Arabidopsis thaliana: one gene and its partner. The protein of the gene in region 2 interacts with the protein of the main gene of each other region in a pairwise test. Each region holds a gene or a part of one and is shown on either strand. Other genes may lie near its edges. The genes, in order: SDR3 and RIP3.

Evidence for each region.
Region 1: the proteins of RIP3 (region 2) and SDR3 interact in a two-hybrid assay, tested with the Arabidopsis thaliana proteins (one large-scale study listed by BioGRID).

What each region holds. Positions count from the first base shown.
Region 1 is NC_003071.7:19,348,821-19,352,626, forward strand, and holds SDR3 (NAD(P)-binding Rossmann-fold superfamily protein), read right to left. Parts: upstream 1,831-3,806; 5' UTR 1,662-1,830; coding exon 1,648-1,661; intron 1,567-1,647; coding exon 807-1,566; 3' UTR 528-806; downstream 1-527. Other genes in the region: SDR5 (NAD(P)-binding Rossmann-fold superfamily protein), read right to left, coding at 2,150-2,456, 2,680-3,132, 3,226-3,239; AT2G47150 (NAD(P)-binding Rossmann-fold superfamily protein), read right to left, coding at 3,504-3,690, 3,794-3,806.
Region 2 is NC_003074.8:19,779,532-19,784,662, forward strand, and holds RIP3 (ROP interactive partner 4), read right to left. Parts: upstream 3,171-5,131; 5' UTR 3,007-3,170; intron 2,700-3,006; exon of another isoform or gene 2,094-2,699; 5' UTR 2,025-2,093; coding exon 2,005-2,024; exon of another isoform or gene 1,967-2,004; coding exon of another isoform or gene 1,914-1,966; coding exon 659-1,913; 3' UTR 551-658; downstream 1-550. Other genes in the region: AT3G53360 (Tetratricopeptide repeat (TPR)-like superfamily protein), read left to right, coding at 4,971-5,131. UniProt on the Arabidopsis thaliana protein: ROP effector binding specifically activated ROPs and linking them to the microtubule cytoskeleton. Involved in ROP-regulated polar growth.

The DNA of each region.
Region 1 (3,806 bases), on a different chromosome or scaffold from region 2:
ACATGTCCATCCATATCTGCGATGTTTTTACACGCATATTTTCCATGGCTCCACGCCTAATTGGTACAACTTGATGGTAGTACTTCTAGTTTTATCTTCTTTGTGAAGAGAAAATGAAAAGGATAAGATAACGGTAAAGATGACAACTTTATGATTTTGATTACATCTTATGTTTCCTTTTATAGACTAATGTTATGCAACCATGATCTGAGACTTTCAATCTTATCATCATTATTTAAGGATCAAAGAAAAAAAAGAACTTGATAACGGTTGCATTGTAATTTGTACAGGAGGAAGTTTTTGATTGAGTTTCTGAAATCTTTGTTTGTGTTTTTGAATCTGATCTTGGGCTTGAGCTGTTAATGGGCCTCTGGACTTTTGTCGGCTTTTTCTTTATTTGGTGATGAAGCCAAGCCCAAGATATTTGTGTGTCTTTTTGACTTTTCTTTTTCGACGACTCTTCTTCTTCTTGACTTCTCTTCGTCAACTCTTCTGTTTCTTGTCCCGACAAATTCTTTGATGTGATTGTGGACTGATACTTTGTAATTAATAACCATTAAGCCAACAATTGTTTTTTGCAGTAAATTACAAGTAAAGAAACTTTAATAGTAAGTATTAATAACGTTACCCTTATTTATCCGAATTAACTATAGTACATACGTAATTGCTTACGTAACGTTATAGGCGATTATTCCATGGTGTGATTTGACCCAAAAAAAAAAAAAAAAAGATAATGGCGTGAAAAGCTCGTTGAAAGTAAAATATTAAGGCGTTAATAAGTGTTGATTTATAGAATATTCTCTCCTTCAAATGGGCTTAACGACGCTATAACCCCCGTCAACAGCCAGATTCTGACCGCTAACGTAAGCCGAATCATCCGAAGCCAGAAACAAAGCCGCCTCTGCCACATGGCGAGCCTTAAGCACCACACCTTTGAGAATCCCCGTGGCTGCGCTATATTCCTCCACCATCCTCACCGTTTCCTCGTCACGGCTATTTATCGCCGTCGCCACCGCGTATGGTGCAACGCCGTTGACTCTAATCCCGTACTTCCCTAGCCCGCCACAAGCCGATTTAACCAGCCCGAGAAGAGCGTGCTTAGACGCCGTGTACGCGTGAGGTCCTGGACCACCGATCTCCGACGCGACGCTGGTCGTACATACGATTGACCCACGCGTGCCTTTCTCCACCATGGCTCGTGCAGCGTGTTTGATAAACGCAGCCGCACCACGAACGTTGACCGCCATGGTTCGGTCAAACTGTTCCAGATTCAAGTCGAGAAAGCTTCCCGGCTGTTCCATAACGCCGGCGTTACTAAAGAGAACGTCAAGCTTCCCGTACTTTTCGACGGTGAACTTAACGGCGTTTTCTACCTCCTTTTCGTTTGTAACATCGCAACGGTAAAAACTTGCTTTGTCTTTCCCGACAGAAACGGCAACGTTTTGACCAAGTTCTTCTTGAAAGTCAACGATGACCACCTTAGCTCCGTGGTCCGTGAACAGCCTAACCGCTTCGGCTCCAATCCCGCTAGCTCCGCCTGTTATTATTGCGATTTTGCCATCCAATCTGCGGTATAGAATATAAACGTACACGTAAATTAAACAAATCAGTAAACATATAATAAAAATGCTTTGGAGTCACACTTGCCTGAGTCCCGACATTTTTGAAGGATTTCAAAAGTAGACAGAGAGACAGATTAATTATAAGTCAAGTAGACCTGAAAGAGCGACTAGATATGCTCCGTTCTCTGTATTTATCGTAGACTTTATATTAATCAATTTTTTTTTTCCTATTTTGTTTTTTAATCAATTATTTTGAAACTATAACGTGTAAATTAGTACTAAATGGTTAGGATTCTTCACTGAAATATCAAAATTCAAAACCCATAGTCAAAATAGAGAGACTAGAAAGACGATTTATCAAATAAGCTTGTAGTATTTGTTTAAATAAATTATCCTCGAGATGTGCAATATGTTGGATAATGAATGTTACCATATAAAAATACAACATCCACATTTCAAGGAAATTTGCAACCTCAGAAACTTCTCAATCCCCATGCCTCTACAACAATTAAGTCAAGTCAACTTTTGACCAAAAAAACAAAATTCCAATATTCCATCATGGGATCTTTGTGGCCAAGTTGTTATAGCTACGGCTTCACCACCGAGTAACCACCGTCAACAGCCAGGTTCTGTCCGCTAACGTAAGCCGACTCATCGGACGCTAAAAACAGAGCAGCTTCTGCCACGTGACGAGCTTTCAATACAATGCCCTTTAGATTCGCCGAAGCTGACGTGTTCTGCTCCACCACGTTTGGTTCCATCTTGAAACCATTACAAACTAACGGTGTTGCGACACCAAATGGAGCAACGCCGTTTACTCTTATACCATATTTTCCTAATCCACCAGAAGCCGATTTGATCAAACCCAACAGCCCATGCTTCGACGTCGTGTACCTATATTATTAGTAAGCAATTCATTCTATTTTGAATTTTAACGATAAAAAATTATTGTCAATAAATCGTGACAACATGATCACTTTGTTATTCTTTTAATTATAATACTCCGTTGCAGCGATCCACTATTTATTATTACATGGTTTTGAAAACGAAATTAGTTAGTGCACTTTTGGTTTGTCTAAAGAATTAAAAAGTCTTTGTTGTGAATATTAGTTTTTACCCGTGTGGTGCCGTGCCAGCGATCTCAGCCGCGACGCTAGTGGTGCAAACGATGGAGCCGCGGATGCCTTTCTCCACCATGGCACGTGCAGCATGCTTGATGAATGCGGCTGTGCCGCGGAGGTTAATGGCGATCGTTCGGTCTAACTCGTTGAGGTTTAAGTCGAGGATGCTCACAAACGGCTCTATTACGCCGGCGTTACTAAACAGAACGTCAAGCTTCCCATATTTTTCGACGGTGAACTTAACGGCGTTTTCAACTTCCGTCTCGTTCGTGACATCGCAATGATAGTAACTCGCTTTGTCTTCACCGATCGAAACTGCAACGTTTTGACCGAGCTCATCCTGTACATCAACGATCACGACTCGAGCGCCGTGTTCGGTAAATAATCGAACGGACTCAGCCCCAATCCCGCTTGCTCCGCCAGTAATAATTACGATTTTGCCATCCAATCTGGAAAAAAAAAACAAATCATTAGAAACACACATTTATGTATATGGGTATAAAGTTGAGCAGAAAGGTTACAAAATCAGATGAGGAAATTGCCTTTTTCCAGACATTGTTGAGACGTTATGAAAATTTGAAGGATAGAGCTACGAGAGAGCTATGTGTGGATATTTATACATGGGGGTATATGTATCTTAAAAGTCAACTCTATCGTGCCATGTGAGTTTTACTTTTTTAATGGCTCAAGAATTGGTTTGACCTCTGAATTATGCACCATAATAGTGACACTTGTTCCTATATAATAATGTTTTTATTTGGTTGAAAAAAATATACACACTTTAATAAGTAAATAACCGATTTTATTTATTTATTTAGTTTCAAATAGGCTTAACGACGCAAAAACCACCGTCCACTGCTAAATTCTGACCACTGATATAAACCGAATCATCCGAAGCGAGAAACAGAGCAGCTTCTGCCACGTGTCGAGCCTTTAACACAACACCTTTAAAAATCCCTCTGGCTTCGCAATACTCCTCCGTCTGCTTCGCCGTCTCCTCGTCGTGACTAGTCATCCCCGTGACCCCGTCGCCACAGCGAACGGTGCGACGCCGTTTATTCTAATCCCATGTTTCCCTAAATCACCACAAACCTATTTAATCAGTCCGACGAGCCCATGCTTC
Region 2 (5,131 bases):
TAATCACAATATTTATGATATTTTTTATTGAATGTATTATAAAATAATTAATATTATATTAATATATATTAGTTATAGACATATATTTCACTACATTCATTTCACCCACGCATCGCGTGGGACATTTTCTAGTAGTTAATTAATTATTGTCACTGATATCTAAAAACTAGGTAGAATGGGTTAGTCTCTGCCAAAAAAAAAAAAGTCAAATGTTTTCATGAAGTGGATTTGGTTGTCATTACCAAAGACAATCTAGTGGGCCGTCTCAGCGTTTAGTGCGCAACAAAAAGGAAAATAGACAGAAGAAAATGTCAAAAGGAAGATCCAAGACTTGAGAGGTATTCATGTGGCTTCTTAATTAGAGTTTCACATTCTATTACAAACTTTTACTTTACACTCTTGACTCTTCTATACATGTAAAGTGTAAACCAATGTACAGGACCAAACTAAATTTGCTACTAGCAGCTCACACTCAGACAAGTAAGGTATAATTTTTCAAGTATTGAATTCAAACAACATTTCACAATACAAATTTCATCAACAAATGTGGCAACGTTTCAACAAAAAAATTAAACTTAGACAAATCGAAATTTTATAAATTTACATACAACAATAATGCCATTTTTATTAAATCAAGTAAAAAGAATCAGTATTATTATTACTTATGGTTTTTCTTGAGTAACACACCAAACTTCTTCAACATTTTGCTAGTCTCAATAGAATCTGTTCTTTCCTCATCATTGTTCAGTATAGAAGCTGCCGTCTCAGCAGCTTTCCTCCATTGCTCACATTGAATCTTCACTCTTTTAAGCTCAGCTTCCATGGCTTCCGTGTTTGCGGTTTCCACTTTCTTCTCCATTGCACTCCTTAGAATCTGCAACTCCATCTCTTTATCCATTAAACTCCCTCTCACTTCCATCAAATCCGATTCTAGCTTCTTCAAATCGCCCGTAGATTCGTCTTCTTTCACCTTCTCCATTAACTCTTTGCGCAAACCTTCGATTTCATCTTTGGTTCTGTTCAATTCTTCCGTTAACTCTGCTTCTCTCTGTGAATATCTTGATTTAACCGCCTCTGTTTGTTCGTATGCGCTTCTTATCTGCAATGTGCTCTGTATATACTCTTCTTGATACCTTGTCTCTGCTGCTTCAACTGCAGATTTCAATTGTGTTATCTCTTGCCTTGAAAGATTCATTGCTTCTTTCAGCTCTTCCACTTCCATTGATGATGAAGAGTCTCTACTGTTTACTCTTTCTTCCTCGAGCTGTCTGACGAGTTTCTCTAAAGACCTTACCTCATACTTAGACTGCTCTAACTCAGACTCGGACTCAAAGAGCTTCGATTTCAGTTTCTGAACTTCGTTAATGGCAGAAGACAGAGCGGTAGAATCCATTCCGTGTTGTCTCTGCATAGCTTCAAGTTCAGACTGCCATGTCTTGTCTCGCTCCTGCGAGAGTTTACGCAGCTCCTCAATTCTTGAATCTTCCGAGGCATTGATATCCATTAACTGATGCTTGGCATCTTCAGCTTCTTCTTGAGCTTCTCTTTTCAATGCTTCTGATCTGTTTAGCTCTTCTTTTGCCTTCTTAAGCTCTTCTTGAAGCTGAGATATCGTAGATTCCAGTTCCGGTATCCTTCCCGTCCGCTTCTTCTGAATCTTGAAAAGAACATAATCAAGAATCACCATATATAAAACTTGCATACACCAAACCAAACCAACAATTTTTAACTGCAAAAGTACCTCATTGAGAGGGATTCTTGCAGAGCGACGATCAGCTACTACTTTCGGGATTTGAGTTTTCGATATTGTCTTGGTTTTTGGATCGGATTCTGCTCCGCTTGGTTTGAGTCTCCTAACAACTTTGGGAGCTGGTAAAGGAGACTTCTTTTGTGGCAGCTCCAATGATCCTGGCCTATCACACACAATCACAATCACTTTGAAACAGATCAATAACTCCAACAACATTCACAACAAGAACACAAAGTTAGAGTTGTGATCATCACCTTGATTTTGGAGTCTGCATTTTTGGAGTTTAAAAACCTTTTCTTTTGGGGATATAATCAATTGCGTTATGATTGCTTCTTTGAAGAATCTGACAAATAGTACATGAAGACCAATGGAAAGTGTGAGAAAGAAGCAACAGAGGGAAAAAAAAAACTTATCATAAGCATATAGACAACCAAACTCAGGGAAGAAAGAAAGCTTAAGCAAGTGTACGAAAAAAACATAAGAATAATATTTACACATTTAGCTTCAAAGAGACTCCTATTACCACCAAACGAAAGCAAAGAGACAACAAATGAATATTGTAATGATTTGGAACAATTCCAAATATATAAAATATTTAGAAGTGTAATTAGAAAAGAAGTTGCCGTCAATGTGATTCATCAAATCACCAAAGATAAACCCTATTACAAGCAAAGAAAGCACCAATATCTTACACATAATCTTTCTGGTTGTTAAGTCACCCAGTTATTTTATTTTATTTTTTACTAAATCAAAGTTTTGGAATTATTGGGAAGAAGAGACAATTTCTTGTCATTTTGTAATGTGAGATTTGGTTTCATTGGGTGGATCTTCCCAAAAAAGAAACACAGATCCAAAAACAGAACACCCAGCAAAAAAATCGTTTTTACATAAAGCCTAAAACTAGAGAATCTTTTAACATTCTCTGCAAAAAGGTGTTTTATTACAGAAACACTTTTGCTTTTTGCAGGAAAACAAAGATTAAAGTTTTTTTTGACTGAATCTTTAAGCTACCAAACCAAAATAAAAGTTAGCTGATTTGAGTAGATGTAAGCAAATTTATACCTTAAACCAACCAAAGATTAACACTTTCTTCAGCAAATTAGTAGAAAAAACAAACTAGTAGTAAATATCTACCTAACAAGATTGATAAACTTCTGAGAAAAAAAAGGAAAAAATCGCACTAAAATTAGGAATAAATCAATGTGAAAGGAAGAGAAGTTTCTGAGTGTTTGAAAAAGTCGTGAAGAAGTATTCACCTATACCGTCGATTCAGCTTCTTTTTTTGTTGGATTAAAATGGAGAACTGCAGAATCAAGGCACCAGCACTTAGATGATTTGATCTTTCCTCTTTCTCGTCGGATTGTTATTCTTTTTTTCTCACTGGACTCGCGAGTCGTTTTTTCCCACTGAAGAAACATTTATTTTCAACTAAACTGCAATATTTATCAAAAGTAACCCCTGAAGTAATGATTGTGCTGTTTCCACCTCAATTTTCAGTACTTAGTTATTTTTATAATCCTTTTACGTTGGATTCCTTTTGGTTATTCCGAAAAATTAAAATTAAAATTTTGGATAATCAAAAAAACTTGTGGGGTTGGTAATGAAATAGATCAATAAATATCAGGGGCTATTTTGAAATTAATTGATAGAATGGACCGAAAGTAGAAGAACGTGGAGGGGGCGTTTTTTTAACTACGCGCCTTGTAGACGCGCCCGAGTCACGTGCTATTGTTTGGCCTCATATTGCTACTTATGAACAACGAACGGTCACGCAACCATAAGTCACTCACACACAAAGGACACTAACCTAGCATATCTATATACTTTATAAATGGAAAATTTTCATAAAATTGTCACAATTTTTCACAAAAACACATTAACCTTCCGTGTTCAATCTACATACATTTGAAAGTGCTATATATTGAAGCATGTAACGTTTCACTTTCACACCACCTCATAGAAAACCGATGCATGATAAATACGACATACACATCTCCTAAAAGAAACAATGCAAAATCAATCATCACTATCTTCATTTATCATACACGCTTGCTAATTTACTTAACATATTATTTCCACACAACTTTAACTATATATTTGGGCGGAAAACAAAAATTGGGAGAAAATATCGTTGAAATTTATGCTAACGATCGATTAGCTTGATTACATTAATGGTTTGTAAAAACATTATATTCACTAGTACTAGATTATTAGAGTATTAACTAGTGACTTCTGAACTACTAATCAAATTTTTCTTTTGACGAATAAAAAGAAAGTATTTCAACAATAAATTCACTACACTGTCTGGCTAGTAATTAAATAATTAAACACCACCATGCGATGATGATTATGCAAAAATGTTAGAAATTATTATAAACCATTGATCATAAAACATTTTGAAATTAGCTAGTGTTGTTTCTTTTTTTAATTTTCAGTGACCGAGAGTGAGTGATCGACTGATGATGGGTTGGTTATGTACAAAAAGTCAAAAACTAATTTCATCCGCCTCCCAATTTCCGGTTTTATCCGGTTCTGGCGGACAACGATTTCATTTTTCGATCAAATTTTCGGTTCGATCTAATTCGCGTCGGTTGAACCATACTTGAAACCGTAACTCGTATCCATATGTATCGTTCAAAACTCGACGTAAATTTCACCACACCACTAAAAAGTCTAAAACCATAACGCGGTTCTTTCTTCGTCCTTGTCCCTCAATTTGAATCATTGAAATTGGAGCCAGATTCCACCATTCTCATTTACTCAGACATTGTCGGAAAAATAATCAAAATCTTACGTCAAAGGTTTCTGTTTTTCTTTGTTTTACATTGTGCACACCACCTGCTCGATAAAATGTCTGTGAAACTAACCACTTTGTTGCTAAAGCATTTATGCTGTGAAATTAACTGGCTTGATCCTGAGTTTTAATATAATTTGAATGATGTATATATATACAAGGTATTTGATTACTTTTTTTTGTCTCCCCTTGAAACAGGCCCGTCCTGATATCCAACTTGTTCATCTACATATGAGTTTGCACAAGAATATTCAGTTGTATCTGTTTTGAAGAAGTTTGATATAATGGATTATATTGCCTTCATTCTCGACGAAGATAAAGAATTCTTTGTTTGGTTAGTTGGATGCTTCGTTTAGTGACATGTCTTTCTCGCTGAACCTTCTTTTGCTAGGAAGAACTCGTTTGGATTAAAAAAGGTTAACTGAAATGGCGACAATGTTACGGTTGGGAGCTAGAGTTTCCGTCAGCAACAGTCAGATACTGGCAACATCAAGTGTTGTATCAACCATCAAGACCGAAGAATTAATGAATGATCACATTAATTCCCTATGTAAAAGTAATTTCTACCGGGAAGCATTGGAAGCGTT